4 linked regions of the Pelodiscus sinensis genome follow. The protein of the gene in region 1 purifies or fractionates together with the protein of each later gene. This does not show direct contact. Links are inferred from orthologs where the notes say so. Each region holds a gene or a part of one and is shown in the gene's direction. Other genes may lie near its edges. The genes, in order: ZRANB1, GCC2, STRN4 and HECTD1.

Region 1 (7,744 bases):
CCTACTATTACATCATCTTTGTTTTTTACTCTTTTTATCCTTATTATGAGACATTCAATGGATCTACCTCCCACTTCATGGCAGGTGTATTCATGTTTGATATACAAGACAGCACATCCTCCCTTTTTGCTCTGTATTCATATTCCAGTCATATGAATTATCCCACCAAGTCTCTGTGATGCTAATTATGTCATAATTGTGATAGTAGTATTTCTAGTTCACCCTGTTTATTCCCCATGCTTTTTGAATTAATATACTGGCATCTGAGATGCTCATGAGATTTTCCTTCTGTGCTCTCTCGTGTCTCCTTTCTCCCTGCTAGGATTGCCCATGTTCCCTCCAGATTCTGACCCTTCACCCAGTCTCCAAGTTTAGGATTTACCGGTGGGCTTTTGTCTCCTTCCCCTGGGGAACCTAGTTTAAAGTGAAGCTCACTAACTTAGCCAGTCTAAATCTGAAGATACTCTTCGTCTTCCTTGATAGATGGACCCTGCTGCTGCTCAGCAGTCCTTCTTTGAACATCATCCCTTGGTTGAGTATTGTACAATACTCTATTGCAAAATGTTTCAATGTTTCCTTCCTAAATATAGATTCCTTCCTAAATATAGATTCCTATGTGATTTATACATTTATAAGCACATTGAATCAGAGCAGGAACAATAATAGAGGGATTTGGGAAGAAAGCTTATTAGAGTAAGCATCAGAAGAACTGAAGGAATATGGGACATCTGTAGTGTCCGGGTACTGAGCAAAGGTGTGCAGCAAAAGGAATTACATTTTGCATAGGATTTAAAAATTTTATTTCATTCTGACAAGGAATGAAAAACTAACCATTTCTAAATTCTTCTTAACAGGTAACTGAGACCTAGGTAGTCCATCTGACAGGCTGTTATAGAGTCATGGATCCTGGAGAGAGGTCATGTGGTTTTAAGATTCATGCACGATTCACTTTTGATAACAGTATTTCTGATCAATATTTAAAGGACTATTTTGATAATATTCAACTACTAGCACATTTACCCAGCATTGCTTGGGTCCTTAACTCAATGAATGTTTTTCTTCATTAAAATCATTGGTCTGGGGTGGGACTGGGTATAAGGGGGTTCAATATGCAGGCTGCCCCAGGGACAGAGGACAATCTGCACGATAGCAGCTTGGGACCAGGTGTTAAGTACCTTTCCACAGTTGCTGCAGCTGCTGTGGGTGCAGTTGGGAGAGGGGTGCATGACCCCTTGCTGGGGCACAGACAGACACACAGATAAACAGACACAGATAGACAAACTTTCTGAAATATATAGTAGATAGCTGTCCCTTTCTCCACCCTTGCCCTTTACTGGCCTAGTGGAGTTATAGCTGCCCCAGTACCCCTCTCTGGCTCCTGGCTGCACCCCTGTGGTCATTCTACAGTATAACTGTCCCTCCTACCAAACTTCTTCCTTTCCATTTTATGAGAAACCATTGAATTCCAGACACATCACATTATCCTGGCACACCCAAACCCTTACATTGTTTTAAGTTATGATAAGAGGAAGCTGCATATCAAATTTGGTGGTTCTAGCTCTTACCACTTAAGAGGAGTATTTTATTATATGAAATGTTTCTATGTTGCAAAATAAACATGTTATTTTACAAAACAATCATTTTCTGTTTCTAAAGTTACTTAAACGATATAACTTGTTAATTCGGTTGCCATACATTTTCCTCTTTCCTGTGTGACAAAATTCATTGTCTGTCTTGTGTTACAGTTTTGGGGATTTGATTCTAGAGTCCATGAAATTCTTTCCAGAATTATCTTGCAATTCTGCTGATGCGGTTCCCTGAGTTATATTTTACCAGAAATCTAACTGTTTCTATGGAAAGATGGATGACTTGCTGAAAGATTTAGGAAATACCTTGACAGAGTTGAAATTGATAATTTATTCAAAACTACAAATTCTGTTTGATTTTATATAAACCACATCTTTCCATTCTATCTAATCTAAAATCGTTATTTCTGTAGATTTCCTGTAGTTAAAGTATTTGAGAGTACTAAGCATTTACTTTAGCATTCACTATTCTTCTTTTAGATAACTTCCTTGTTAAATGCTTATTTAACATGCTAAGAGCAAGTTTTATGAATTACTTCTAATCACAAAGAATATGGGATGGAAATATGGATGGAAATATTTCTTTTAGATGACTTATCCACGTTCATCTTGGATCTGACAAGAAAATATGGTTGTCCTCATTTTTTTATGTAGCTAAATATAATTAAGCCTTGATATGCTTGCCAAAGTGCAGAGTAGGGCACCACTTGCTGTGTGGAGATAGAATTTAGCAAAGAAGTAGGCTGGGAAGGGCAAATGATCCATTTTCCTAGGCTGCTCAGTGTTTATAGCAATCCAATTTCCTTGCAAAGAGAAACAAAGTGTCACTTCAGTCTTTGAAAATAATTACATTTGGCTGGTCTTGATTGGCGTTCTGATCTGTTGGACAATGGGATTTTTCCTAGTGTTAGTGAGCTATGCTATGGTGCGTTCATTATTGGGTATCTTTCCCTTACTCCAAATGAATGTGAAGGAAATTATGTAGCTGTGCAAAGTATAGTTACCCAGTCCATAACCTAGCTGGTAGATGGCTCCATACTGCCTAATACAGAAAAATGAAGTACAAGTTGAACCTCCAAAAACTGGGACTCCCTTGTCTGGCATGATTCTGAACCAGGAAGCCCTGGCTGGTGGCCCCAGTAGCACAGTTGAGGCCATGGCAGTCCCGGTAGAAGGGTCAGAGCCAGGGATGTGGCAGCCCTGGTAGTGGGTCCAGGGCTTCAACAGCCCTGGTAGCGGGGCTGGGAACATGGCAGTTTGGGCTGCTGGGGGCTGTGGCAGCACGGCGGGGTGGGTGGGGGAGGCTGGCTTAGGCTGGCAACAGGGAGAGGAGGCAGGCTGGGAGCCGGTAGCAGGGAACCTCCCCTGGTGCTGCAAATTCCTTCATTCAGGACTGGTCAGGTCCCCAGGGTGCCAGACCAGAGAGGTCCAACCTGTAACATGTGGATCAGACTTGGAGAGGAAGTAGAGGCTGTGTGGCGGAGGTGACCAATGGGAGTGTGGAATCCACAGAATAAAAATTAGGTATGAGGAAGCCTGAGAGCTAGGACTGAAAAAGTGTGAGCTAGGTGAATAATCTGTTGCTGTGAGGAAGCCACAAAGAGTAGGAGCTAGGTGAGGACTCAGCTCCTTTTGCTAGTCCATTTCACAGGGTAGCATAGAAACCAGCAAAGTGCCCACAATAGTGGGACCATTCCTTACCTTAGACAAGTAATAACAGACACTTGTGAGGGGATGGTAAGAGGTTAATATGCTGTCTGCCATTGTAAGGGTTCTTGGAAACTATTCCTCTTTTTCACAGAGAATCCCCCTGAGGAAGTAAGGTTTTTGTTATTCACCTGATAGCTATCACTTTTAATTTTATATACACATCTGAGTGGATATCTATTGATTTTGAGAGCCTAAATATTGTTTCCAGTGACTAAACTTGCACTAATGATGTTTAGGATATATTACACAGGTCCAGTATTCATGGAAGCATGCAGATGTCATTGAATACCTTGGCAAAAATATGCCTCATGATGGAATATATTACATTTATGAAGAGAAAGTTACTAGAATAAATCCACCGAGAAGAGATTTATTTATCCATTATCAAAGCTTTCTCACAAACAAAATATCTTAATTTAATCCTCTGCATTCTGACACTCTCCTGAAGTTTCCCTGGGCTCCTGGGAAATATGTGATATAGCTCTTCCTTTCCTCTGGATCCCTGAGCTGGAGAGATAAGGGGAGATGACAGCTCCTTTCTGGACCTCTGTGATAACCGTCAAGGCTTTGAGTCCCAGCAAGAGACCTGTAGCCATACCATTGGGAAGATCAGGCCCCTGGAGATAGATGAGGCTCATTTCTGGTCTGGAAGGAAAGAGCTGGTACTTTTTAGGTCTGTGGAGTAAAGGGCTGCAGTCTCTTCTGTTCTCCTAACAGCATGGAAAGCTTCCTATGCTGTGTCTCGGGGCCAGAGAGCAGGCTGGGGCAGGGTGTCCTCCAGCGAGGTTAGCGCACTGCAGCAGCACAGGGGTAGGGTGGTGGCATGTTTAACTTGTGTAGGGTGGCGGCTACAAGGCTGCTATTAGAGTAGGGACTCATGCACTGGCTGCAAGGAGAGGAGAGGTGAGTTTGCTTGGAGGCACTGAGGGCCAGGCAGCCTGGCTGCATGCTTCCATGAGGTGTCACGCGTGGCCTCGCCCCGTGGCTGGACAGCACAGACCAGTTTACATTCCAGTACAGGGGCGTGAAAGGCTGGGGCGGGGGCTCTGGTGCCGCTTGTCCCCGGGGGGGGGGGCGGCGAAAGAAGCGCGGGGCTGAGTGGGGGGTCTCCTGGGCGGCTGCTCCCCTGCTGGAGGCTGGATCTCCTGGGTGGTCCCCTGGCGGGAGCGGGCGATGGAGAGGCGCTGCGAGTGAGTGGGGGAGGGGAATCTCCGGCTCCTGAGAGAGGCGGCGCTTGCTCTGGGCGGGTGGGCGGAGGGAGCGCAGTCCTCCGGCGGGGGCATGGGGGAGGGGAGAAGGCCCGCATCCTCACAGAGGCAGGGATGACATCACCGGTTCGCCCCAAAGAGGCGCTCTCGAATTGGCCAGGCGGACGGCGCGCTTCCCGCCAATGAGCGTGCGACAGGGCTGCGGGCTCGCTCACGTCAGAGCCCTCTGCCGTATGGGGGTTTATTTTGCTTTGGGCCGCTCTAGCCGCCGCCATTAGAGGGTTCGGGACTTGGGAGTCTGGGGCTACAGATTGCCCCCTCCCCCCCGGCTGTGCCGAGTGGGAGCGCCCGCGGCCGAGCGAGCCAGCTAGGCCGGGAGAGACCATGTCCTGAGCGGGGAGCCGCAGCCAGCGGGGCGGGGGGATGGTGGGGGGCTCGGGGGGGTGCTAACGCCGACTAGTGTCCGAGGGACGGATCCGGGAGCAGGAGCAGGCGGCGCTCGAGGTAAGGCGACTTCTCCCCAGTGGGCCAACCACCAGCGGCTCCCAGCGGGGCCCTCTCTCCGCGAGCCGCCGGGCTGCCTTCTGGGGCAGAGCTCTCCCTGCCCTGCCGGACACTTAGGCCGGGCGGAGGGTCCTGCTCCTCGGAGCCGTCGAGCCTCCCCCTCCACCGCCACAGGCTTCCGTCGCTGGGTGCCCCCTTCTCAGCTCCTCCCCCTTTCCTCGCGCCCCTTTAACGATCCGGCGCGCGGGGGGGGGGGTGTTAATTGGCCCCTCCCCCAGCGGGGCCCTTGCTGGCTTAGAGCCACCCCATGTCAGTTTCCCAGCGGCAGCCCCTTCCAGCCGCCGGAGCCAGCGCTGCCTCCCACCCGGGGCCGGCAGGGCAGCTCGTAGGCTGCGCGTTGAGCTGGTGGCCGCGCCCGCTTCCCTTTTCCTGACGGGTTGGGGGAAGGGGGCTCCTGAAACTTTTGCTGTCGTGACTCGGGGTCCCGGTGTGGAAAGAGGTCGGAAGGTTGCTTGGGTGTCCTCCCCGGCCACCCTCACGTCCCAGCCTGGGGCTTCAGGCGCCTGCTTCGGGGAGACGCTGCTATTGCAGTTGGCTTGTTTACTGGTGTAGAAATACCTGCGGCGTGAACTAAGTTGGGTGTTTTTGTTGTCGGAGGATTGCCCCCCCCCCCGCGCTGACTTAAACGGAGACGCGTGGTACATCGTGTGCCCATATAGGCTTTTGAATTCCACCTATTAATACCAAAGTCCTGTTGTCTGAGTGTGAGTCTTTTAACTTGTATCCTAACTTGAATGACTAAGGTTCACTTCTCCATTGGAAAGCAGGAATTTGCTTCTGCTGTAACTGTTACCTGAAAGGTTTCTTTTTGCACTTCTGTATGCACAGTTTATTATTCTACTCCAAAAGCGCTATAGCACGCATTTTAAGGGTCTTGTTAAAGTAACAGGACTCTTAGACACACAAAAAAACAGGAGACTGCCTTGTTTTCTGTGGTTCTCTTTTACTCTGCTGCAGTACTGAGATCCACAGGAGTGAGATCATAGGTCTCCTGACTCCCATTTATTCCCCCCCCTCATTTTTTCTAGATCTGTCTTTACTTCTGTACTACAGAAGCTACCTGAAATTTGTGAATTATTTGTTGTATTTACATGTATTGCAGACAATAGGTTAGCCATAGTTAATGTTGAACTATGTTCAACTATGTACCAAGTTGTATAAAGCATTTGTGATTTTGATGTACAAAGATAACCACAGTAAAACAATCAGATCCTGTTCTGAATTCCATGTAATTTAACAACTGAAATAATTCTTTATTTACAGACTGTAACATAATATAATATTCACTATAAGGAGGACCCCAGACTATCTATATCTCCCTCTCTAGTTTGTAGTTCTACCTACAACATGGTAGCAACCAGCTTGCAGATAAAGATGAACTATACAACCCTCTTTGGAGTTCATTAATGCAACTCTATGAACAGCTGTAAGTGGTTAACTTTGAATGATGCAAGGCACTCTCTTTCCTTCAATCCAGAGTCTGAACACACCTCTTCCTGATTAGTCTCAGCTACCCTATTAGGGCTACATGGTGGTATTATGATTGCAGATGTAGAATCTGGAACCTCTGCATGCTGAGCACAGAACAGCTGCTAAGACTTTTGTTAGCAATGCATCTTTTGATAACCATGAGGAAAATAACTTTTCTAGAATTTGAGAGTTGCCATTTTGAAAAGTAGTTTTTTTTAGAGGTACTGGAACAATAACTGAGTCATTACATGTGAATTTTTAAGCAGTTAACCTAGCTTGCAGATATGTATTTAGGGCAAGGGTATGCAAATTCTGGCCCATGGGCTGGGTCTAGTCCACAGGGTTAATCCCTGCCAGGCTACCACCTCTGTATTTACTTGCACCTCTGCAGGTATTGGGCAATTGCAACTCCTGTTAGCCATGGATCACCATTCGTGGCGAACAAGAGCTGCATTCACCTGATATTTGTAGAGATGCAAATAAATGTAGCAGCGGTGGGTTGCCATTTTTATTGCCTACCCATGACTTAAGGGCATGATAACTTTTTCTAGTGCTAGCATACACTAAACTCTCACCTCTCAGCTTTTTTGTGTGTGATATCAGTTACATACAGATCTGTCAGTCTGCTGCAGATGTTAACCTTTTTTTTATTAGTATAACTGTATTCAGAACCTCAAAACAGTAATTCAGGTTTATTCTGCACTTAATTTCTAATAGCATGGTAACTGAAAGAGGACATTGAAACCCCCATTAGTAGTGTTCAGCAATCACCCAGTGGAGTATTTGTATGGTGTAGCAACACAAGCCATCTCCAATGTCATCTGGCTTTGGAAGTGGGAGGCCAAGAACTTATGGTTTTAACTTGTGCATGGTGATGTAAAATCATAAAAAAATTTGTTTTGTCATAGTACTGGACTGGAATAACATTTCTGCATCTAGTGCTGCTCATGGGCTTTTGGAAGCTTTATCTATATGGTGTAATCCTGCTGAAGAAAGCATTTGTTGACAAGCTGGTAGCCACTTCTCTAAATGAAAGATCATGGTCCCCCTCAGCAACCAGATTTGCAAATACACCAGTCCTTTCTTATGATACTAGATGATTCCAAACTGCTCAAAATAGTTAAGACCAAAGCAGACCGTGAAGAGCTTCAGAAACATCTCACCAAACTAAATGATTGGGCAACAAAATGGCAAATGAAGTTTCAT
Region 2 (8,012 bases), on another chromosome or scaffold:
TCTGAGTGGAAGAACATGAACGTTCTCCGGCGATTTTTGTTCTGACTTTTCGCTGTCAACAAAATGTAGTAGTTTAAAACACTAGCTTAACCTCCCCCCAGAAAAAGTTTTGCTGCAGCAAGTGAAAGCACAAATGGTGCTTTCTCCCAGAGCGCTCTCCTGCATCCTCTTTCAAGGGGAGGACGTACTCAAACAGCAATCACACTGCTGACTTAGCGACAAGGCCTTGCTGCTAAAAGCTGTGCTTAAGGTTGCCAGGTGTCAGGTTTTGAACCGGACAGTCCAGTAGTTGAGCTTTCTGTTCGGGAAACAAACTGAGAAAATATACATGAGAAGATGATCAACCCTCGCCGTGCTGCCCAGCCAAACCCTCCTGTGCCCAACCAGTCCTGTCTGCCGGCCGCCAGGGACGCTCCCGCTGGCTTCTCACAGAGCCTGACCCAGTTTGGCTCCTCCTAGGCGTGTGCACCGCAGCGTGCGGGAAGAAACGCAGGAGAGAGGCACAAGGCTCGGGCGGCGCTCGCAGCTGGTGGCCTGGGCGCGCGACTGCAGCGGGGCTACTCGGACTCAGGCTGCAGCGAGTAGCGGCCCCGCCGCGCCCAGACCTGGGAGGGGCGGGGCCACGGGCGAGGAGGCGGGGACGGTGTTGGGGGCGGGGCCTGGGTTCAGGCGCTAGAACCCAACCCTCTCCCACGTTCACTAGTTACCATAGAAACACTCGGGAGGCGGCGGGCCCGGATTGGTGACCTCTGACCGGACGCGGGTGCTGACGAAGGCGGAAGTGGGAAGCAGGATGGGGCGGCGCTGAAATCCCCCCCGGACCCTGCCGGCTGCAGTCCCGCCATGGAGGTACCGGGGGAGGCGCCGGCGGGCTGATGCGCTGGCGCGGGGCCGGCGGCCGCTGCCCTCCCTGAGCGAGACCCGGCGCGGGGGATTAACCCCGCCCCCTCCCACCCCGCTGCGGCCGGGGGGGGGGCGGTGGGTGACCTTGGGCGCGCGGCTCCCCCAAGTCTCCCCCCGTGTGGGCGTGGCCGCCTCCCCAGTCCCGGGGCAGAGGGCGGGTCACCCCCTTCCTCTGCGCGCGCTCGTGAGCCCCTCCCCCCCCCCCCGCTCCTTCCCTGGGGGGGGACCCCGCGCTGCTGCGAGCGGGGGCAGGGGCGCTGCAGCGCTCGAAGTGACGTCAGGGGGCCCCTTTCAACTGTCTCAGCAACGTGAGTCCAGAGTCATTTCGGGCTGGAGTCCCGCCAGTCCCGGCAGCTCTTGGGGATGGGGCCGCTATAGGTTGCCCCCGTGCGCATCTGTTCCGCCCTAGAGTCGTTCATGATTGTAGGCACTGAGGTGTTCTAACTTCTCCCATTCCCTGCTATTAAGTTGCCCCAAAACAACAACCACCCCAATTTCCACAAATGGAAGCTGGTTGCAGGGGGAAAAAAACCCGCTTTAAGTTGTGTAGCTCTAAGTCCAACTTTTTTGGAATGTATCTTGGACTTATAGGGTGTGTCTAGACTCCTGAGTTTTGTCGACAAAAGTGGACTTTTGTCGACAAAACTATACCAGCGTCTACACTACCGCTGAGTTCTGTTGACATAACGTCGACAGAACTCAGCAGTTTTGTCGATGCTGGTAAACCTCATTTTACGAGGCATAACACCTTCTGTCGACAGAAGGTTTTATTGCCTGTAGGGTTGCGTCTAGACTACAGGGTTCTGTCAACAAAGCAGCTTGCTTTGTCGACAGAACTCAATGTGTCTGGACGCTATTTGTCGACAGAAGTTTTGTCGACAGATACTGTCGACAAAACTTCTGTCGACAAAACGCGGTAGTCTAGACGTACCCATAGTGAGGATGACTTGTACCACCCAACTACTGGAAAACTACACAGCGGAGGCATTTCTGGAGGGGCAGGAGGAGAGGTGTCTGCACATCCTCTCACTTCACACTGTCTATGATTGTTTTAGGGTAACAGCAGGGTGGTGATTGCCATAATAAACTAGACCCCATGAACCTTTCCAGTTTGGTATCTTCCTTTTGGGAGCAGTGCCAACCGCATTCATGCTTCAGAGAAAAGTGGAAACACTGTTATGCACCTCCTGGGTTAGTTGGTTTCTCTGTGGGAGGTAAAAATCCATCCTGAACACAGCTGGGGGTGACTAGATCTGTAGATACTTAGATGCTTTATAAAGCCTAATAAGAGCATTCAAGCTCTAAGGGACCTTGATGATATTTTAGAAGTCTGCTCAATGACTAGATTTCCTCCATTCTGCAGATCAAGTAAAATAACCCAGGGGCTACATAAATGTAATGGCAAGTGTCAAGTAATTTTTATCTCTCATAAGTACTGGGGCAGATATATTTTGTGTCGTTTTTGCAGTTACAGAGAGAAACAAAAAGGCTTCCAAAGAAAGTTTCAAATCATTGTATTTGTAATGTCAAATACATTGATAAATCCAGTGTAATCTGTGGCCTTTCTTGAAATGTAATTGTAAAGTTGTGATCGCATCTCAGAACGTGGCATAGTTTTGGATGATTAGTTTAAAAGATTAGCGTATTTTCCACAAAAAAATAGTTTGGTACTTCTGTGTAATTTGTTTGCATTGTGTATGCCTTGTTAGAAGCTTATTTAATTGCAAATGAGCAAAATAGACTCATAAAGTGAAAGTAAACGCATCTAGTCTGATAGTGTAAACAGAATGGTGAATCAAACATACTGTTTGTACAGTGTGGAAATAGTATGTATAGCATGGTGGCAAAGTCTTTTGTGGCTACACAGTTTATACTGTGTCTCATCCTGTCTGCTGAGAGTTCTGTAAGGTCTCTCTGTGTAGAGTCCCAATCCCTTTTTTCATATGCTTCTGCTTGAACTTTGAGTTTAAACTGCCAGTGTTTCTTCAGGTCTAGAGCTCTCCAATAACATGAAAATCAGAAAGTAATCCTACAAAAAGTAGAAACTGAAAAACTGCTAAGGAAGAGGGAAAAACACTTGTATACAGAGAAAATGAGAGGCAGAGGCACAAAATGAGGCCTAGCAAGGGATGTAAAAGACAAACGGGGTTTTTAAAATACTTTCTTTCTCTTGGTCCTAATGTAAGTGTAGGCCCTCTTAATGGAGAAGGAAAGTGAATATCATGATATCAAACAGGCTGATCTGTTCAGTTCCTATTTTACTTTGGTCTTCAGTAAAAAGCTTAATGATGACCAGGTACAAATCACAATTAATATTAAAACAAGGGAGAAGCCTACATAGGAAAATAACATGTTAAAGAATATTTAGATCAGTAAGATGTATTTAGATGCCTTAGGTTGTAGGCAGGATTTCTGTTCTATATAAATTGTATGCCCACTTCACCAGGTTTTTTTACAGTGAAAAACATCAGATTAAATGCATTTATAGTAAACTTCCGATAATCCGGCACCTTTAGGACCCAGGGGGTGCCGGATTATCAAATATGCCGGACTATCAGAAGGGGGGGCTATGAGGGGTCTGGGGTGGGGTGGGGTGGGGAGGATGCTACCCCAGACCCGCTCATAGCCCTCCCTTCTGATAGTCCGGCTCTGCCCCAGGAGTCCCCGATTCAGCCACTGCTGGTCAGTTTCAGCAGCGGCTGAATCAGGGGCGCCTGCAGCAGAGCAGCTGGGGTGCTGCTGGGTTGGTCCAGTAGCGCCGACCCTTGGCGCAGCGAGACCAACCCGTCAGCACCCCAGCTGCTCTTGGGGACGCCTGGGGCAGAGCAGCTGTGGTGCTGAAGGGTTGGTCCCGCAGCGCCGCTCCTCGGTGCTGTGGGACCAACCCAGCAGCCTTGCAGCTGCTCTGCCCCAGGTGTCCCCAAGTCAGCCACTGCTGATAGTGATCAGCGGCTGACTCCAGAAAGCCAGAGGCAGAGCTGCTCTGCCCCAGGCTTTCTGGAGTCAGCCCTGGTCAGTTTCAGCAGTGGCTGAATCAGGACGCCTGGGGCAGAGCAGCTGGAAGGCTGCTGGGTTGGTCCCACAGCACCGAGGGGCAGCGCTATTGGACCTACCCGGCAGCACTCCACCTGTTCTTCCCCCTGCTTCCCGGATTCAGCGCTGGTCAGTTTTAGCAGCGGCTGAATCAGGGAAGCTGGGGGCAGAGCAGCTCCAATGATCCGGCTGCCCGGAGCACTTCCGGGTTCCTGATGGTGCCGGACCAACAGGAGTGCCGGACTGTCAGATGCCGGACCATCAGAGTTTTACTGTACTTTCATGTTTATTGTACAAGTCTCTCTGTTTTGATAATTTGTCATTAAATCGGCTTCTGTTTAAGGGAAATCTGAATTAGCTCTGAAATACTGCTAATTGGGAGCCATCACTGATGGACAATTTAGAAAGAAGCTGAAGTCTTATAACATGCACATAACTTGTATAGGATTAGAGAAGGCCAAATCTTGTTTGTATCTTTTAAATAGAGGACTGAGAGAATTGTAGACCAACCAGCCTAACCACTACCCAGAAAGAGACTGAAACAAATTATTAAACAATAATTTTTGTGAGAACCTAGAGGATAATAGGATTATAAGGAATAGGCACCATAGGTTTGTTAAGAGCAAATTATGCCAAACCAACCAACTTTCCTTCTCTGATACTTACTAGTCTAGTGGCTGGGGAGCAAGCAATAAATGTGATATCTTGATAATTTTTTTAGTAAGCTTTTGACACAATCCACATGACATTCTCATAAGCTAGATAAATGATAGAAATGTAGCCGTGTTAGTCTGGAGTAGCTGAAACAAAATACAGGACTATGTAGCACTTTAAAGACTAACAAGATGGTTTATTAGATGATGAGCTTTCGTGGGCCAGACCCACTTCCTCAGATCAAATAGTGGAAGAAAATAGTCACAACCATATATACCAAAGGATACAATTTAAAAAAATGAACACATATGAAAAGGACAAATCACATTTCAGAACAGAAGGGGGATGCGGGGGGGGGGGGGAAGGAAGGTGAATGCCAGTGAGTTAATGATATTAGAGGTGGGGAAGGGGAGATGTCTGTGAGTTAATAGTATTAGAGGTGATAATTGGGGAAGCTATCTTTGTAATGGCTAAGATAGTTGGAGTCTTTGTTAAGTCCCCTGCGGAGAGTGTCGAATTTTAGCATGAATGCCAGTTCAGAGGATTCCCTTTCAAGTGCAGATTTGAATGTCTTCTGAAGTAGGATGCAGGTTAGCAGGTCATTGAGACAGTGTCCTTTGTGGTTGAAATGACAAGCAACTGTTTTTTCTTTGTGATCCTGTCTAATGTCTGTTTTGCGGGCATTGATTCTTTGGCGAAGTGTCTGAGACGTTTCTCCAATGTACATAGCAGACGGACACTTTCGGCACATGATAGCATAGATTATAGATAAATGTAATTTACATTAAATTCCTATAAAGTGAAAGACTGTTTGTGCAGTTACTTGTTGGTGAATTCTACATCATTGCACATGTGCAGAATTCATGTCCCCTGCAGATTTCTTTGCTTCATTACAGAAAAATAACTTCCGATGGGGAAGTAAAGGGAAGCCATGAGGCTGGTCACAAGTCCCTCCCCAGCAGGGCTGGCAAGTCAGTTTGGGCACCCAGAACAGCTCATAAAGATGTAAAATCACTGATGAGCTGTGGGGGCTGGGTGGTCATGCATGTGTGTGAGAGAGAGAGAGACTCTGTGCTTGCAGCATGGTTGGCATAGCAGTGGTCCCCAACCTTTTGGGGCTGCCGGGCACCCAGGGATGGGGCCACACATGCGCCGGGCGCCCGGGGGTGGGGCCACGCATGCGCCGGGCGCCCGGGGGTGGGGACATGGCCGCGCATGCACCGAGCGCCTGGGACCCAAGGCGCAAGAATGGCTCGGGCCAGCCCTGGTCACTCGACGAGTGCACGTAAATGTCCAGGCAGGCACCATGGCGCCCACGGGCACCGCATTGGGGTCCACTGGCATAGAGGGTCAGCGCTTTGGGGTGTTTCCGAGGAGGTAAGTGTGAGGCATGCTTTGTCCCCTCAGGCAGAGCAGAATATAGCAGCCTGCCAGCTTAGTGAATTGTTCCTATTGTTTTTAATGAATTCCCCTAGGAGTATAAACCAGATATATAAATTATTAAAGCACAATATGGCCTAATAAATGCTTATAATAAGTTAGTGATTAAAACTAAAATTTTGCACTAAAAAAATTCCTATAAAAATGGCAATGAATTTTTTGCTATTGATCTTTCTAAAGATGGTCAAAAGTAAAGATAAATTGCGAATTTGAGTCCCTAGCCCTCACTTGCTCGTCGGTTGCCTATGATGTAACACTGAGTGTATGGATATTTATATTTGACTAGTAACTAGAAGTAAAGGATCAATACTATTTACATTGCTATTAGAGAGGGTTGGGGATTTCCTCCAATGCTCCCCAATCCCATTCTCCATACTATCGTTTCAATAAAATTAACAAAATAATTGAAACCAGTATCATTGTGTTGTTTTAAGAAATAAAATATGTAGCAAGCCCTGCATGGATACAAATGTCAACTCATGGAGACGGATATGTGTGGATAGACATCAGTGTCTGCTGATCTGCAGGGCTTTACTCCCAAGAATCATTGTGGCCTATGGAGAGGAGCATAGTAACATTGCTCCTGAGAGCCCCCAGTCTGTGCTGGCAGCTCCTCCTGGCAGGATTTTTGCAGAATTAAGAGTAGTTTCCAGTTTGACAGCAAACATTGAAAGGTCACATCTAGTGGGGTCAGTCCTGGATCTAGTACTGTTAAAATATTTTAATTAATGACTTAGGAAATGGAGTGGTGAGAATTCTTAAATTTATTAATAATATCAAAGTGGGAGAAATTGCAAGCACTTTGGAAGACAAGTTTAGAATTCAAATGACCTTAACAAATTGGAGAATTGGTGTGAAATGAACAAGAGAAAACTCAAAGAAGACAAATGCAAATGAATTCACTTAGGAAGGAAAGATCAAAGACACAGCTACAGAATGGGGAATAACTGGTTAGCTGGTACTGTTGAAAAGGATCTGTACAGTAGACCACAAACTGAACATGAGTAAACAATGTGATGCAGTTTGAAAAAAGGTTGTTGTTATTCTGGTGTACATTAACCAAAGGGATTCATGCAAGATATGGAAGGTAATTGTCCTGCTCTACACCCACTAGTGGAGGTCTCAGCTGAAGTACTGTATCCATTTCTGAGCAGCACACTTTAGAAAAGATATAGACAAATTAGGGAGAGTCCTGAAGAGAGCAACACATATTACTAAAAATTTAGAAAATCTGACTTGTGAAGAGAGGCTGAAACAATGGGAAGAGAACATATTTCAAGACATACTATTAGTCTTAAGAGCTGTTATAAAGAGAACAATGGCCAATTATTCTATGTCTGCTGACAATAGGACAAGAACTAATGGACTTTATCTGTAGCATGGGGGATTTAGGTTAGATAAAAAACAAGCTGAACAAATACCTTTTATGGGAGGTCTTGGTCTACTTCGTGCAGGGGCTGGACTTTAATTTTTGAGGTTCCTCCTAGCCCTGCATTTCTATTCCCAAGTATATGTAAACATTGTCACCTTTCAAATCCAGTCCAAGATGATCATCTTTGAGCGTAACTTGGAAGATCCTACCATAAAATCACTGTTCATTTAAATGATATCCCTCTTCTAGTATTTTCATTTGTCTACATTTTTAAGACTGGTCTTTTGTTAGTAAGTTATCAAGCTATACTTTCCAGACCAGTTGCAAATAAAAAAGATTTTGTCCACCCTCTAAACACAAGTTTTTTGGATTATTATTAATTTTTAAGACTATATTGGCTTACATCATGCAGTGAATGATCTATCCAGATCTTGATGTGATAGATGCCTGAGCTCATTTCTTCCATTTTTTTGTTGTATTTTTTATTAATTTTAATTTTCTAGAGTTCTACCTTCTACTGGAGGAGTTAGTTATTGTGAAGGTACCTCTGGCTCTTAACTGGTTCTTAACTGGTTAGGAATGAAAAGAAATGAGTTCTGACATGCTATGC
Region 3 (6,978 bases), on another chromosome or scaffold:
TTTTTGTGTAATTCCCCTTTTTGAAATTAAATGCCAGGGTGCTGGACTGCTGAGGTGTTCTTCCCACCACAGGAATGTTGAATGTTGTTATATTATGGTCACTATTCCCAAGCGGTCCTGTAACGGTTATATCCTGGACCTGATCCTGCACTCCACTCAGGACTAAATCGAGAATTGCCTCTCCCCTTGTGGGTTCCTGCACTAGCTGCTCCAAGAAGCAGTCATTTAAGCCATTGAGAAATTATTTTCATCTCTGCTTCTCTTCCTGGGGTGACATGTATCCAGTCAATATGGGGGTAATTAAAATCCCCCATTATTATAGAGTTCTCTATTTTGGTAGCCTCTCTAATCTCCCTCAGCATTTCTATGTCAGTATCGCTGTCCTGGTCAGGTGGCCGGTAATATATCCCTACTGCTAATTTCTTATTATTGGAGCATGGAATTTCTATCCATAGCGATTCTATGGAACATGTTGATTCATTTAATATTTTTATTTCATTTGATTCTACATTATCTTTCACATATAGTGCCACTCCGCCACCCACCCGGCCTGCTCTATCCTTTCTATATATTTTATATCCCGGTATGATTGTGTCCCACAGATTTTCCTCATTCCACCAGGTTTCAGTGATGCCTATTATGTCTATCTCCTCCTTTAATACGTGGTACTCTAGTTCACTCAGCTTATTAGTCTGACTCCTAGCATTTGTGTACAAGCACTTTAAAAATTTGCCACTGGTTATTTGTCTGCCCTTCCCTGATGCATTGGATTCCTTTTATGCGGTTGTTTGTCAGCTCTGGCCCATGGTTTGCCCTCTCCCCTCCTCTCTTTCCGACTACAGCTTAGAGAATCTCTATCAACGGATTCTCCTCTAAGAGAAGTCTCTCTCCGATTTACATGCATCTCCGCACCAATCGGCTTTCCCCCATCTCTTAGTTTAAAAACTGCTCTACGGCCTTATTAATGTTTAGTGCCAGCAGTCTGGTTCCACCCTTGTTTAGGTGGAGCCCATCCTTCCTGTATAGGCTCCCCCTCTCCCAAAAGTGTCCCCAGTTCCTAATAAATCCAAACCCCTCTTCCCTACACCATCGTCTCATCCACGCATTGAGACTCTGAAGCTCTGCCTGCCTACCTGGCCCTGCGCGTGGGACCGGAAGCATTTCCGAGAACGCCACCATAGAGGTCCTGGATTTCAGTCTCTTTCCTAGCAGCCTAAATTTGGCCTCCATGACATCTCTCCTACCCTTCCCTACGTCATTGGTACCTATATGTACCACGACCACAGGCTCCTCCCCAGCACTACACATAAGTCTATCTAGATGCCTCGAGAGATCCGCAACCTTCGCACCAGGCAGGCAAGTGACCATATGGTTCTCCCGGTCATCACAAACCCAACTATCTATGTTTCTAACGATCGAATCACCCACTACTAACACCTGCCTCTTCCTAACTGGCATTCCCTCCCCCTCAGAGGCATCCTCAGTGCGAGAGGATACCGCAACATCCTCTGGGAGGAGGGTCCCAACTATGGGATGGTTTCCCTCTGCTCCCATTAAATGCTCTGTTCCCTTGAGACTTTCATCCTCCTTAAGAACACTGGGGCTCTCAGACTGGAGGTGGGACAGTACTACAGTGTCCCAGAAAGTCTCATTAACAAAGCTCTCTACCTCCCTTAGCTCCTCCAGTTCAGCCACCCTGTCCTCCAAAGCCCGAACTCGGTCTGAGGGTCAGGAGCTCCTTGCAACGGGTGCACACATACGCCACCCGCCCACAGGGCAGGTAATCATACATATTACACTCGATGCAATAAACAGGATAGCCCCCACTCTGCTGCTGGGCTTCTGTCTCCATGTTTGTAATGAATAAGTTTAAGTACAAACTGGGATTCTTTTAAAACTTCTGGAGTATAGATTATTCTAAGAGTTAGGTTTTAAAGAAGGACACAAGTCACTAGTTCCCTCTAAGTTCCCTCTCCAAACTCTCCTGTTACCTGTTCCTGGTCGCACTCTCCGTGCTCTCCCAGGTCGCTGAGTCACAGGCTTATATAGCTCTGGTAGCCCCTCCCCCTGACTGAGGCTCAGCCAATTAACAGAGGCTTCTAGATTTCAAACCTTTTAGAAGCTCCTTCAAACAAACAAAGCAAACAAACCAGACAAACACAAGCTCAGCACACTGCAAATAACTCCCCCCCACACAACACACACTCCAGACAGCCACTTACCACAAGGGTCCCATTTTTACTCCTCTTTTCCCTGGAGAACTCCCTCTCCAAACTCTCCTGTTACCTGTTCCTGGTCGCGCTCTGACCAGGTATGACAACTCTGTGACAATCAACAAGGATCCTGAAGTGACTGGGATAGAAGTGAGGGGGGAAGGAAGGAGAGAAGCACACTGATAAAGCTGACTACCAAGCAATGGAGGATTTGGGGTAAGGCTAGCAGTTGCTCCAGATAAAGATGTAGATGGGGAAAGAAAATGGTGACCACTGAATAGTTGAAAGGACAGTAACTGCTCTGAATAGGGGCCAGTATGGAGCTACGGCAATGGATGAAATACTCCAGCATTATGGCTAGGGAGAGGAGGCAGATTTTATTTGCCTTCCTCCAAACCAGACTGAAGTCTCAACTCTGTGCTGAGAAGGGATCTACCCTGGGGGGCAGAGAGAACAGTATTTTGGGAAGGAGCATGATCTGGGAAGGAGGCGGCCTGTCATTGGGGTGGCCTATGCAGTCCTGGGTGGAGGTGACTGTACTTGCAGTGGTGAGGAGCCTTGTGCTATGGGAACCTCTACTTGTTTGCTGTGGGTGGGTAGGAGAAGCCTCCCTGGAGTGGGCCCTGATCAAGACCCCCTGCTGAAATGGGAACTGCTCACTGTCTGCTTTTGGGATAGGGCAGAGAAGAGACCCTATTCTAGAGGGAACTTGACTGGGGTACCCACTTTAATTTGAGTGGGGTGTGAGGCATGGGAGGTGTTACCATGGGAACCCGTCCCTGGCTGTTGGGGGGGGGGGCATTTGAACCAGGCTATGAGGGGGAACTGTCATGGGAGCTGCCCTCTCCCTGCTCCGGGTGGGATGAACCCAGCCTGCAAGGTGGGAGGTTGGAGGGGGGCGCTGTTACCATAGGAACCCCTCTCCTTGCAGGCCTATTCTGGGGGGCCCCTGGAACCCTTCTCCTTGCTCTGGCTGTGGGGCAGGTGAAGGGACCTGTTGCCATGGAAACCACCCCCCACTTCCGGGGGGGGGGGGGGGACAAGCAGACCTACCTGGAGGATGTGGTTGCCAAGGGGGAAGCAAGCCTGCTCTGGGGGAGGTGCTGTCATGGGAACCTCCTGCTGGGGGGGTGGATATTCCTGGGGGGGGGGAATGGGAGGGGACGTTGCCATGGGAACTCCCTGCTGTGGGGGTGGGTCGCAGGCCTACCGGAGCAGGACCGTTGCCATGGGAACCCCACACTCGGAGGGGGGTAGCAGCCTACCTGGAAGGGGCGTTGCCATGGGAACCCCACACTCAGAGGGGGGGAAGCAGCCTACCTGGAAGGGGTGTTGCCATGGGAACCCCACACTCAGAGGGGGGAAGCAGCCTACCTGGAAGGGGTGTTGCCATGGGAACCCCACACAGAGGGGGGAAGCAGCCTACCTGGAAGGGGCGTTGCCATGGGAACCCCACACTCAGAGGGGGGAAGCAGCCTACCTGGAAGGGGCGTTGCCATGGGAACCCCACACTCAGAGGGGGGTAGCAGCCTACCTGGAAGGGGCGTTGCCATGGGAACCCCCTGCTGGGGGAAGCAGCCTACCTGGAGAGGCCCGTTGCCAGGGGAAACCCTCCGCTCGGAGGGGGGAGCGAGCCTGCCGCGGAGAGGAGGGGGGGCGCGTTGCCATGGGAACCCCTCCCTGCCCCCGTCCCGCGGCGCGGGCCCCATTTCCTGGCGGATCACTATCTGGCAGGAAGTGCCCCCCCGCGCGGCTCCCTATGTGGCAGCCGCCGGGATCCATGATGGAGGCTGAGCGGGTGCTGGTGCGGGCCCAGCAGGCCCCGGGCCCGGCGGGGGCCGAGCCGCCGCCCCCCCCGCCGCAGGCCCCGGGCCGGCCGGCCGCGGGCTCCGGGCCCGGCGAGCTGAGCCTGCCCGGCATCCTGCACTACATCCAGCACGAGTGGGCCCGCTTCGAGGCCGAGAAGAGCCGCTGGGAGGCCGAGCGGGCCGAGCTGCAGGTGCCGGGGCCGGGCCGGGCGCGGGGAGCCGCGGGGGGTTACCGGGGCCGCCGCTGCCTCCGCCGCTGCCGCCATCTTGGAGGGAAATGGCCGACGGGACCCCGCGGGGGGGGAGAACCCCCCCCAGGATTGGGGGAGCCCCGTGGGGGGGAGGGGGAGTGTCAGGGCCCCCCCCAGGACTGGGGAGCCCCGTGGGGGGAGGGGGAGTGTCAGGGCCCCCCAGGATTGGGGGAGCCCCGTGGGGGGGAAGGGGGAGTGTCAGGCCCCCCCAGGATTGGGGGAGCCCCGTGGGGGGGAGGGGGAGTGTCAGGCCCCCCCAGGATTGGGGGAGCCCCGTGGGGGGGAGGGGGAGTGTCAGGCCCCCCCAGGATTGGGGGAGCCCCGTGGGGGAGAGGGGGAGTGTCAGGCCCCCCCCAGGATTGGGGGAGCCCCGTGGGGGGGAGGGGGAGTGTCAGGCCCCCCCCAGGATTGGGGGAGCCCCGTGGGGGGGAAGAGGAGTGTCAGGCCCCCCCCAGGATTGGGGGAGCCCCGTGGGGGGGGAAGAGGAGTGTCAGGGCCCCCCCAGGATTGGGGGAGCCCCGTGGGGGGGGGAAGAGGAGTGTCAGGGCCCCCCCAGCATTGGGGGAGCCCCGTGGGGGGGGAAGAGGAGTGTCAGGGCCCCCCCAGCATTAGGGGAGCCCCATGGGGGGGAGTGTCAGGCCCCCCCCAGGCCTGGGGCAGCCCCATGGGGGGAAAGGGGGAGTGTCAGGGCCCCCCAGGACTGGGGGAGCCCCATGGGGGGAAAGGGGGAGTGTCAGGGGACCCCCCCAGGACTGGGGGACTCCCTGGGGGCATAGGAGGAGTGTCAAGGCATTCCAGGTCTGGGGGACTCCCGGTGGAGGCCGAAATTGGAGTGATAGGGCCCCCAGGACTGGGGAAGCCCTATGGGGGGAGGGTCACCTCCCCCCCAGGAACATGGGTGGGAACCTCCATGGAGAGGGAGTATCAGGATCCCCAGGACTGATGGACTTCCCATAAGAGGAAAAAGGGAGTGTCAGAGGCTCACCCAGTACTGGGATCCCCCCCCTGGGGGGATTGGGAAATTTCAGGACCCCGTCACAGAATTGGGCTGACCCCCTGACAGGGAGAGGGGGCGTAGACCTGGGTAGAGACTGGGAGCTGAAGGGACAAGTTGGAGGTGAGTGATTAGAGGGGGATACGGAATGGGGGAGGTATTGGGATCCTTCCCCCCCCAAAGTTGGCACCCCTCAGTTGTAATTAGGGTGTTGAGCATTCCTGTCCAAGAAGGAATGAAGCGGACTGGGGGGAGGAGAGGGGTATGTGACAGTTGCCTCCCCATAACACTGAGGGAAGGAATTAATGTGTTGGGCTTTTGTATCTGTTACCCTTTAATAGGAATTGGGGTGAACTGGGGGAGAAACACGACTGTCATTCTCTCCTTAGTGACCAGTGAAGGAATTGGGGTGATGGTAAGAAATACAGTTTTCAACCCCATAGCAACTAGCAGTGGAGTTGGGGTGATTATTGGGGCCAGGCCAGGAAATAATTGATGCTTCCCAAGAGGGATTGAAGAGGGAATGGAGGTGACAAGGGGAGAAATGTAGTCATTGCCTCCCAGTACGGACAGGGGAAGAACTGGGGTAAGGATATGCATCTGTCAACCCCATGGCAACTAAGGAAGAAGGGAGAGCGGACAGCAAATACTCAGACCGGTAATAGCTGGTGGTGGGGATATGGGGTTGAGGTGGGACACTGCCATCATATCCTAGTAGAGAGCTGCAGGGAGGTCGCTTCCCTGGGTAGCCTCACTGGGTCTGGTCAAGAGGAGCAGCTTCCCAGTTATTGGTGTTTGGTGCCAAGGGAATATCACTCTCCCAGCTGCATATGTTTTAAGGAGCAGGGGATGGTGATCTCCCTGCTAGGGTATGAAGACTAGCAGGGCTGTTCTTCCCCAGTAGCTCTGGAGATGGCATTTGGATGTGAGGAACCAGAAATCTCCCCAAACAACCATGCTAGGATTGCCCAGGGATTAGGGCTGTGAAGCATTTTATTAACTTCCGTGAGCAGCCACAGCCAATGGATCTGAGGTTAGTAATATGGGTGAATTCAGCTCCACAGGGATGGAAGGATGAATTGGTTGGGATGGAAGTAGGTGCTGAAGATGTCAAGGGAATGCCCTGTCCCAAATGGCACTTTCTCAAGCCCCCCTCGAGAGGGGCAGTGAGCCAGGGACCTTTGAATGGTGCAACCCATCAGCACCTGGGTGAGAGAGTTACTATCTTCTTAAACACTGATGGGTTTGCAGGGCACAGGAGAGAGGTGAATAAAATTGACCCGATCTTGCCAACTTCACTTTGATGCCCTGTTTTCACATGGCGAACGGGTGGAAGAGGTGAAGAGTAGTAGTTTATCATCTGCCAGGCTGGAAGCATGTTGCAGGCTGTAAAACATCTCCAGAAGGTCTCAGATTTCAGGATCCAAATGGCTGCTATGGATGTAAGGCATAAACTTCTGCTTTTTAGGGTACCTGCTTGTATATGGGCTGGTTTATAATAGCTGGTCTATGTAGCAAGGGGAATTGAACCAGACCACACAGCAGGGTTTGATGCAAGCAGTGGCCTGAAAGGCAATGGATGGGACTGAGTTCTAGGTACCAGGCGAGGGATTGTAAAACCGAAGAGGGCTGGGGAGTTAAATGAGATTAAGCTACTAGAAGAGCAGCACTGTGACTTGAGTCTGGAGGGCGAGGCTGAGGAGAGCTGTGTA
Region 4 (7,942 bases), on another chromosome or scaffold:
GACAGTATCAAAAGCTTTGATAAAGTCAAAATATATCACATCCACTGACTTCCCCACGTCCACAGAGCCAGTCACCTCATCATAGAAGCTAATCAGATTGGTCAGTCATGACTTTCCCTTGGTGAATCCATGTTGACTATTCCTGATTACATTCCCCTCTTCCAAGTGCTTCATAATGGATTCCTTAAGGATCCCTAATTTTTCCAAGGACTGAGGTGAGACTGACTGGTCTGTAGTTCCCTGGATAGTCCTTCTTCCCTTTTATAAAGATGGGCACTACATTTGCCTTTTTGCAGTCATCTGCGACTTCTCCTGATCTCCATGAGTTTTCAAAGATAATGGCCAAAGGCTCTGCAATGATATTTGCCAACTCCCTCAGCACCTTTGGATGCATTAAATCTGGACCTAGGGATTTGTGTATGTCTAACTTTTCTAAATAGTTCTTAACCTGTTCTTTCTCCACCGAGGGCTGCCATCTCCTTCCCATACTTTGTTGCCTAGTGCAGTAATCTGGGAGCTGACCTTGTCTGTGAAGACAGAGGCAAAAAAAGCATTGAGTACTTCTGCTTTTCCCACATCATCTGTCACTAGGTTACCTCCTTCCTCCAATAAGGGACCCCACACCTTCTCTGATCACCCTCTTATTGCTAAAATGCCTGTAAAAACCTTTGTGTACCCTTCACATCCATTGCTAGCTGCAATTCCAATTGTGCTTTCACCTTCCTGATTACTTCCATGCAGTATATTTATACTCCTCCCTAGTCATCTGTCCAAGTTTCCACTTCTTATAAGCTCCCTTTTTGTGTTTAAGCTCATCAAGGATTTCCTTGGTAAGCCAATCTGGTCCCCTACCTTATTTGCTTACTGCGCATTGGGATGGTTTCTTCCTGTGCCTTCAATAAGTCATCTTTAAAATACTGCCAGCTCTCCTATTATATTCAAGTTGATTAGCACTAGTCCTTTTCTTAGAAGACCTGAAATTCAAATTGTCATGTTTGCAAGAGGCTAGTTATGCAACATGCAACACACCCACTGTATCCATGAATCTCTATTTTTGTAGGCACTCACCAGTTATTTCCAGAAAAAGCATAATATCGGGTATTACATGCACAGTAGCACCATTCATATTTGGTGCCACTCATTTGGATTTGGTTCTTCAAAACTGACCCTTGAAAATCAAAATTTTCTAAAAACTCTTCGGGTATGTCTACACTACCATCCTAGTTCGAACTAGGGTGGTAATGTAGGCAACCGGAGTTGCAAATGAATCCCGGGATTTGAATTTCCCGGGCTTCATTTGCATCTTGCTGGGCGCCGCCATTTTTAAATGTCCGCTAGGGCGGACTCCGTGCCGCGCAGCTACACACGGCACGGACTAGGTAGTTCGGACTAGGCTTCCTATTCTGAACCACCGTTACTCGTGAAACTAGGAAGCCTAGTCTGAACTACCTAGTCCGTGCTGCGTGTAGCCGCGTGGCACGTAGTCCACACTAGTGGACATTTAAAAATGGCGGCGCCCAGCAATATGCAAATGAAGCCCGGGAAATTCAAATCCCGGGCTTCATTTGCAACTCCGGTTGCCTACATTACCATTCTAGTTCGAACTAGGGTGGTAGTGTAGACATGCCCTTCTACATGGTCAGTTATCTATATATTTTAGAAATGTGCATCCGTGTGTGTCTGTCCATTTATGTGTCTGTTCGTTCAAGAACTGCTCCTAAACTGTAGGAACTAGGATCACCAAATTTGGTATGCAGCTTCCACCTATCCTAATTTAAAGAAAAGTTAGGATTTGGTTGTATCCAGAAAGTGTCAGGAATAGGACTCTTTTCCATGACATGGAAAGGGAGGGGCACAGAGAAGAGAATACTGAAAGTGGCCATCAGGGGCAGTAAGCATGGGGGAGAACTATACTGCACAGTGGACACTTGCACAGCTGTACCACCAAGAAAGTAGCCATCAGACAGGAGCTCTGCCATCTTGCCTGCCACCAGATTGGGTAAGTAGCCCCCCTCATCCCAAACCATTTCCTCCTCCTGGCTCTTGGCCAAAGTCCATGCTGGTCAGAGGGGTTGGGAGGAGATAGAAGGCCCCGGGTGGCTGGCAGAGGTGGAAGACAGAAGGCTCTGGTGACTGTGGCAGCTGGAAGAAAAAAACATCCCTGGTGGCCAGGGGGAGAGCAAAGGTCTGTCCCAGATGGGTCCTCAGGCTTTGAGACCCGCCTTACCTCCAAGCCCTCACTCTTGCACTTCCCTCATCACCAACCTCCTGTGCTCCCTCCTGATGCACTAGGCCCTGCTCTGAGTCCTGCATCCCCCACATGACCAGGTCCCTGCCCTGAAGGACCCAGGCAATTCTGGGTAAGTCTGCTATAAATTCTCATTAATATATGGGGATTAGTGCATGCAGTGGGTTTGTCACATACTATATGTTACTCTAACTGTTCAGACCATCATATATATTTTGATATTTTTTAAATATTTTTCTATTTTTCAACAAATTCTACTCAAGTAATGAAAAGTGCATAAATATAAACGGAGAGAGAGAAGGAGTTTGGCACCAGTTCACAGATATGTTTTGTATATGAATGAACTGTTCTTGAACTACATCAGTTTCTCAGGTTTTCCCAGCAGTCATGAGTATGGTATCCAAATTTTCCTGTCCTTTGAACGGCACCTAGTTTCAAACTAGTTTTTTATTTCTTTCCCCCCCTTAAGTGCCACAACATAGTTCTGCTCTGTTACAATTGTACCTTTCCACTGATTTCTCTCAAAAACGAATGAGAGTAGCATTTAGCTTCTAGTGTTTAGTGACTGCATCAGTCATTCAAGCTTCAAGGGCCTGAAATCGATTATTCTTTTTTCTGTAGCGTGATCTTCAAAACTGGTGAAGAGGGCATAGTTGCATCACTGAAAAAGCATTTGGAACTAGCAGTTTTTGGGGCAACAGAAGCTGCATCTCCAATAAAAGCTTGAATAGACTGGGGGGAGGCTTAATCCTATAATATGAAACAACTATTAACTGATGGAGGTGTTGTCTTTCTTCTTTAACAGTCTAACCCTTTCACATGCCACCAAGATTTATTCATTGCTTGGATTTAGTCATGAGACTGGGAGCCACTGTTCTTCATTGGATTCCAGTCATGAGTGAAAGGAGCAAAATATAAATAAAAAATAACTCATTTCTTGAATGACTTTATGGTTCAGAGTGGTCTCTACTCAATTTATATAATTAAAAAATTGGGTAGAAATTCTAAAGTCTGGGATGTAAATCTCCTTCTATAATCTTCCTTGGATTTAGATTACTAGCAATCCTTGTACTGGAGGGAATTCAGATGTAACCTATTACCTGGGGGTTAGGTCCATCAGACAGATGATCAGGTACATAAAGCCTGTATCAGTAAGTGAGCAGGAGTGAGACTGCAAGAATTAAGGTTATTCTTGCATTTCCCAACTTTTGAATGCTTGATTTTATCCCTTTGACCCTTTTCCTACCCACTGATTTGTACAGGATGACTTCTAAATGTATGCAGAGCTCCAGAGGTTTCAATGGGGTTCTGTACAGGTGCAGGGCTCTTAGCAGGATCAAGTTCTTAACATTCTTCTTTTAAGATAGTGGACTTTAAAGATAATAGTATAAAAATAAATATTTGTTACAGTATAATAAAAAGATGACTACTGATCATGGTTATAAGATGATGCCATACCAACATATCAAAATGAGAAGTGTAGGTGGAGTTAGAGACAGATGTTTGAGTTACATGTTTTTAACAAAAACAAAAAACTGTAGAAGGCTTTTAAACAAAGAAAACAAAGGTTCTGAGAATGCTGCTGAGACAGTCTCCTGACATAATTAGAACACAACTTTGTCTTGTAATACAGACAGGACTTAGTCATGAAGCATGATACTGCTGTGTAAAACATAAGACTGTAGGAGGCTTCCAAAAAACAATGAAAACATGATGTGCAATTTATGGTTTGGGCTGAACTACACTATAGCTATTGTGAGGAACTTTACTCAGTGAGAACTAACACTGTCAGCCCAGTAAACAGAATAAAAAAGGGTTTTTTTTAATCTTTTATAACAAATAACACTCTGTTCAAAACTCCTCTTTTCTATTCTCCATTTCTACCCCCACCTCTTTTTTGTTGTTGACCATAAAGTCCTATGAATGAGTGTTTAATTTATTGTGGGTGCCTGGCCAAGCAAATTGAGATTATAAACTCATTTTTAGCCATGTTCCAAAGTGCAGAAATGTATTTAGTCTTGAAAAAAATATATTATTTTGTGTGTGTGTGTGTGTGTGTGTGTGTAAACATCCACGTGTGTGTGTGCGTGCATGTGTGTTAACTATCTTTACAAAAATTCTATGATATACTTTGTTTTACAGAGGCTGTAAACACTTTTTGCTCTAATACCTCTATCACAGAATTTGGGGAATAGGAGTCTTCTACTCAGTAGAAATCGTTTTCTGAGGAACATCGGCTGTGGGTTGTGGGGGCAGTTGAGTTCTCAACCTGTTTTTCATAGGTCTATATACTCTGTTATTTTTTTCAACTCCCGCCTCCTACCCTCCAGCTGTCCTTAATTTGTAGGAATAATAAAATTATATATAATATTCTACATGCTGACAAAACTCCCTTCTTCTATCTCCATCCTTCCCAAATTTTTCTGACATGAAACCCACTGAAAGAGGGGTTTCACTTTAAAAAAATAAAAACAGACAAGCACTTTCATTACACCAGCTATACTATATCACTCAGACACACATCATGTCAACATGAGTAATCAGAGTGTTTGAGCAACGTCACAAGCAACCTTTCACACAGTTATTGTTACAACAAAATTGCACAAGACAGATCATGGTAAACACACTGTGTTTTAGATCTGACGTATAGTTGCTCTGTAGTTGCCAGAAACATTGCAAACATTAACACTTACTTCAGGAAAGCCAAGACGTTCACATGGCATTCTAAATACAGAGCTTCACCAGACAGGGTTTTATTTATGGAAAAAAGAAAACATTTATTTTCTGGATGAAAATATGGCTTTAGAAAACACTTCAAAGGCAAAGAAGACTAAATAACGAGTATTTGTACAGCAAAACTTAATTAGCTGGCAAAACCAGTAAGTATCTGACCTTGTCAGGCCCCTGTTATTGCTCTGATCTATTTAGTGCAAAATAGTTTGATATATTTAGAAACGTCTATTTCCCACGTGTACAGAGCCGGGCAAGGAAGTTAAAGAAAACACATTTTATATGTTTCTAGGTCAATTTAAAATTTAAATAGGGGAGTTGTTTTTGCTAAAAGAGCTAATGACTAAATTTGTCTTAATGCTGTGTGTCAGGGTGATGTTAACAAAAAGTAGATAAATTATCCTTGTGGCTCTCTCTCTCTTTACTTTCAATTTTGGCAAGGTAACTTCCTATGATCAAGGAATTTTGTCTTCAGTCTAAAATGTTACTAATCTGAAACTTTGTACAGAAAATGGCCTTGATAATAAAAGGCAAAAATAAATTTGTTAAATTGTTTTTTCAGTTGTACAAGGAAAATATGTGTTTCTATGACCTCCCATTGTTTGACCCCACTTCTTGCTAGACGTTTATTTTCAGATAGAATATTTTGTACTTATGGAACACTGTCTGAGTAACAAATAATGTTTCACAAACATTTAGCCTGGTAACAGCCTTCTGAGGTGGTTATTACTACTCCATTATTATTTCATAGGTGAGGAAACTGAGGTACACAAGGGTTTAGTCACTTGACAAGGTCAAAAGGAAGTATGCATCAGCACTGGGATTAGAATTTAGGTATAGTTCCCAGTCCATTTTCCAACTAGAGCTGGGTAAACAATTTGTATTGAACCTTTATTCAGATAATATACACTTTATTTTCTGGTCATGAACATAAAGGAACATTTATAAACTTGCTCATATTTCATAACTGTTTGACTATTTTTTGCAAGCAAATTTCAGCCTGTGGATTCAAACATTTACAAACTGTTCACTATGATTGTTCCTACAAGCCTTTTGATATTCAAGCTATGTGACTTGTTACCCAGTGACGTATTATTTCTGATCTGTGTCTGGATAAACAAATCTTTATAATTCTGCCTTAAATTAGTTTAATGATTAAATAAAGGGCTTGAAATTTACTGAGTAAATATTCATATGAACAGAGTTTTACGCCCAGGAAACTTCACTTAAATAAATAAGTATGCAAAAATGATTGAAGCAAATAAAATGTTTTTACAATCACCTTGAACTAGTTTTGCACTCTAGCCAATTTTATCTCATTTTCTATATTAAAAAGCAATCAGTTTTGAAGATGGAGCACATTTAACTTTTTGTGATATCTGGAGACAGCTTGAAACAATAGCTGAGACTGCTGTCAGCTGTCGCATTTCATTTCAATTGGGTGTTTACTCTGAAGACTAATGAAAATATTTTAATTGTCAGTTGCTGACCAAGGCACACAAATAAAAGTGTGACAGACTTATCATGATACTTTAAAAGAGAGATAAGCTATGCGTAGAGCCCTGAGTGGATACAAGATTTGCATCCACATCCACAAAAATGAGCTATGGATATCCCCACTGATGTCCTAAAATGTACATATCTGCGGATATAAAGTGAATATCGCAAATTTTCAGGGTTCTAGCCACAAAATGTTATCTATCTGCATCCATATCCACAAAAATGAGTTGAGAATATAGAGCAGATATCTGCAGATTTGCAGGGCTCTAACTATGGGAGTCTCAACTGGATTAAGTTTGTGTAAGAACCACTCCTTAGTTTTTTTTTATTGTATTCTAAGGAATAAGAGTCACATGTTTAGAAATACAAAACATAAAAACTGAATATTCTCTGACGTATTAAAGACTTGAGAATGAAAAGTTTGGTTGGTGTCTGAAGTAGTACTAAGTCTCTTGGCACTATACTTTAATACATTAAAATAAATACAAGCAAATCAAATTATGAGATATCAGATGAGTTAATGAACATAATCAGGAGTACATGGATTTGGTTTTAGTATTTTAGGAATGCAGGGTTAGAGCCACAAAATGGATTGAGGCTCACATTTGCAATGGCAAGCTTCGTGCCCTGCTGTGCAATGGAAGCCTCATGTTGATTTGGGCAGCCAAACTCCTGATACAAAGCATGGAGAGAGTTAGGCACCTAAGAGCGGGACTCACACAAGTCAGCAAATGGATTGGGGAGGGGATTAACCTAGCCAATAGGAAATGAAGAGGAGAGTGGCGGAGTCTAAGCCTGATCCATCAAAGGGACTTAGGTTCCTAACTCTGGGCCAGAGGGATTTGTTGTTCAAAAACAGAGATAAAATCCAGTTTTTCATTTTACTTTCAAGCAAGACTGTCTGGGAATAAGAATAATTCTAGAGATGGTGTTTCTTAATGAGTGACACAGAGACATCAGCATGTGACAAGTTCTGTGTGACACAGCATGACTCCCATTGGCTTTATGCCCTCTGTATACACCCCATTCTTCTGATTACAGGAAATGTCTATAATATAGACAACAGTGATACTCAAACCTGCTATAATCTTTTCTTACAATATTTATATTATTGAGCCTCATGTGACTGATTTCCTTACCAGACCTTCATGTGATCCCACAAAGAAGAAAACTATTGTGAAGGCTAATTGTGCATGAATATAGAGATTTTTAGTCTTTAACTCTAAATGTGTAGTATTTTGCTTTATGTTTAGAATTAAAAGAAATAATTGAATAACTATTTAGTGTGCACTGAAGAATTTATACAGGAATATTATTTTCCTATGATAATTTTCAGCCTTAGAGTGGAAAGTTTTGGGGCAGCACTGTGTCTTTCTACCTTAAATGCTACTGTATGCTATATAAAGAGTAGTTCTTCAGAGTAGTGTTGTGAAGAATATTAGTTCATGATTGCACAACACTTTG

What was found.
Region 2: the proteins of ZRANB1 (region 1) and GCC2 purify together in Homo sapiens (affinity purification with mass spectrometry; 3 studies listed by BioGRID and IntAct, with this or other methods). This does not show direct contact. The link is inferred for Pelodiscus sinensis from reciprocal best matches to the Homo sapiens genes ZRANB1 and GCC2.
Region 3: the proteins of ZRANB1 (region 1) and STRN4 purify together in Homo sapiens (affinity purification with mass spectrometry; 4 studies listed by BioGRID and IntAct, with this or other methods). This does not show direct contact. The link is inferred for Pelodiscus sinensis from reciprocal best matches to the Homo sapiens genes ZRANB1 and STRN4.
Region 4: the proteins of ZRANB1 (region 1) and HECTD1 purify together in Homo sapiens (affinity purification with mass spectrometry; 5 studies listed by BioGRID and IntAct, with this or other methods). This does not show direct contact. The link is inferred for Pelodiscus sinensis from reciprocal best matches to the Homo sapiens genes ZRANB1 and HECTD1.

Annotation. Positions count from the first base shown.
Region 1 is NC_134718.1:53,943,564-53,951,307, reverse strand, and holds the start of ZRANB1 (ubiquitin thioesterase ZRANB1), read left to right. Parts: upstream 1-4,738; 5' UTR 4,739-5,008; intron 5,009-7,744. UniProt on the Homo sapiens protein: Ubiquitin thioesterase, which specifically hydrolyzes 'Lys-29'-linked and 'Lys-33'-linked diubiquitin. Also cleaves 'Lys-63'-linked chains, but with 40-fold less efficiency compared to 'Lys-29'-linked ones.
Region 2 is NC_134711.1:235,141,291-235,149,302, forward strand, and holds the start of GCC2 (GRIP and coiled-coil domain-containing protein 2), read left to right. Parts: upstream 1-5,001; 5' UTR 5,002-5,805; coding exon 5,806-5,967; intron 5,968-8,012. UniProt on the Homo sapiens protein: Golgin which probably tethers transport vesicles to the trans-Golgi network (TGN) and regulates vesicular transport between the endosomes and the Golgi.
Region 3 is NW_027465849.1:5,733,559-5,740,536, forward strand, and holds the start of STRN4 (striatin-4), read left to right. Parts: upstream 1-3,972; coding exon 3,973-4,212; intron 4,213-4,254; exon of another isoform or gene 4,255-4,305; intron 4,306-6,978. UniProt on the Homo sapiens protein: Calmodulin-binding scaffolding protein which is the center of the striatin-interacting phosphatase and kinase (STRIPAK) complexes.
Region 4 is NC_134714.1:51,019,470-51,027,411, forward strand, and holds the start of HECTD1 (E3 ubiquitin-protein ligase HECTD1), read left to right. Parts: upstream 1-4,939; 5' UTR 4,940-5,127; intron 5,128-7,942. UniProt on the Homo sapiens protein: E3 ubiquitin-protein ligase which accepts ubiquitin from an E2 ubiquitin-conjugating enzyme in the form of a thioester and then directly transfers the ubiquitin to targeted substrates.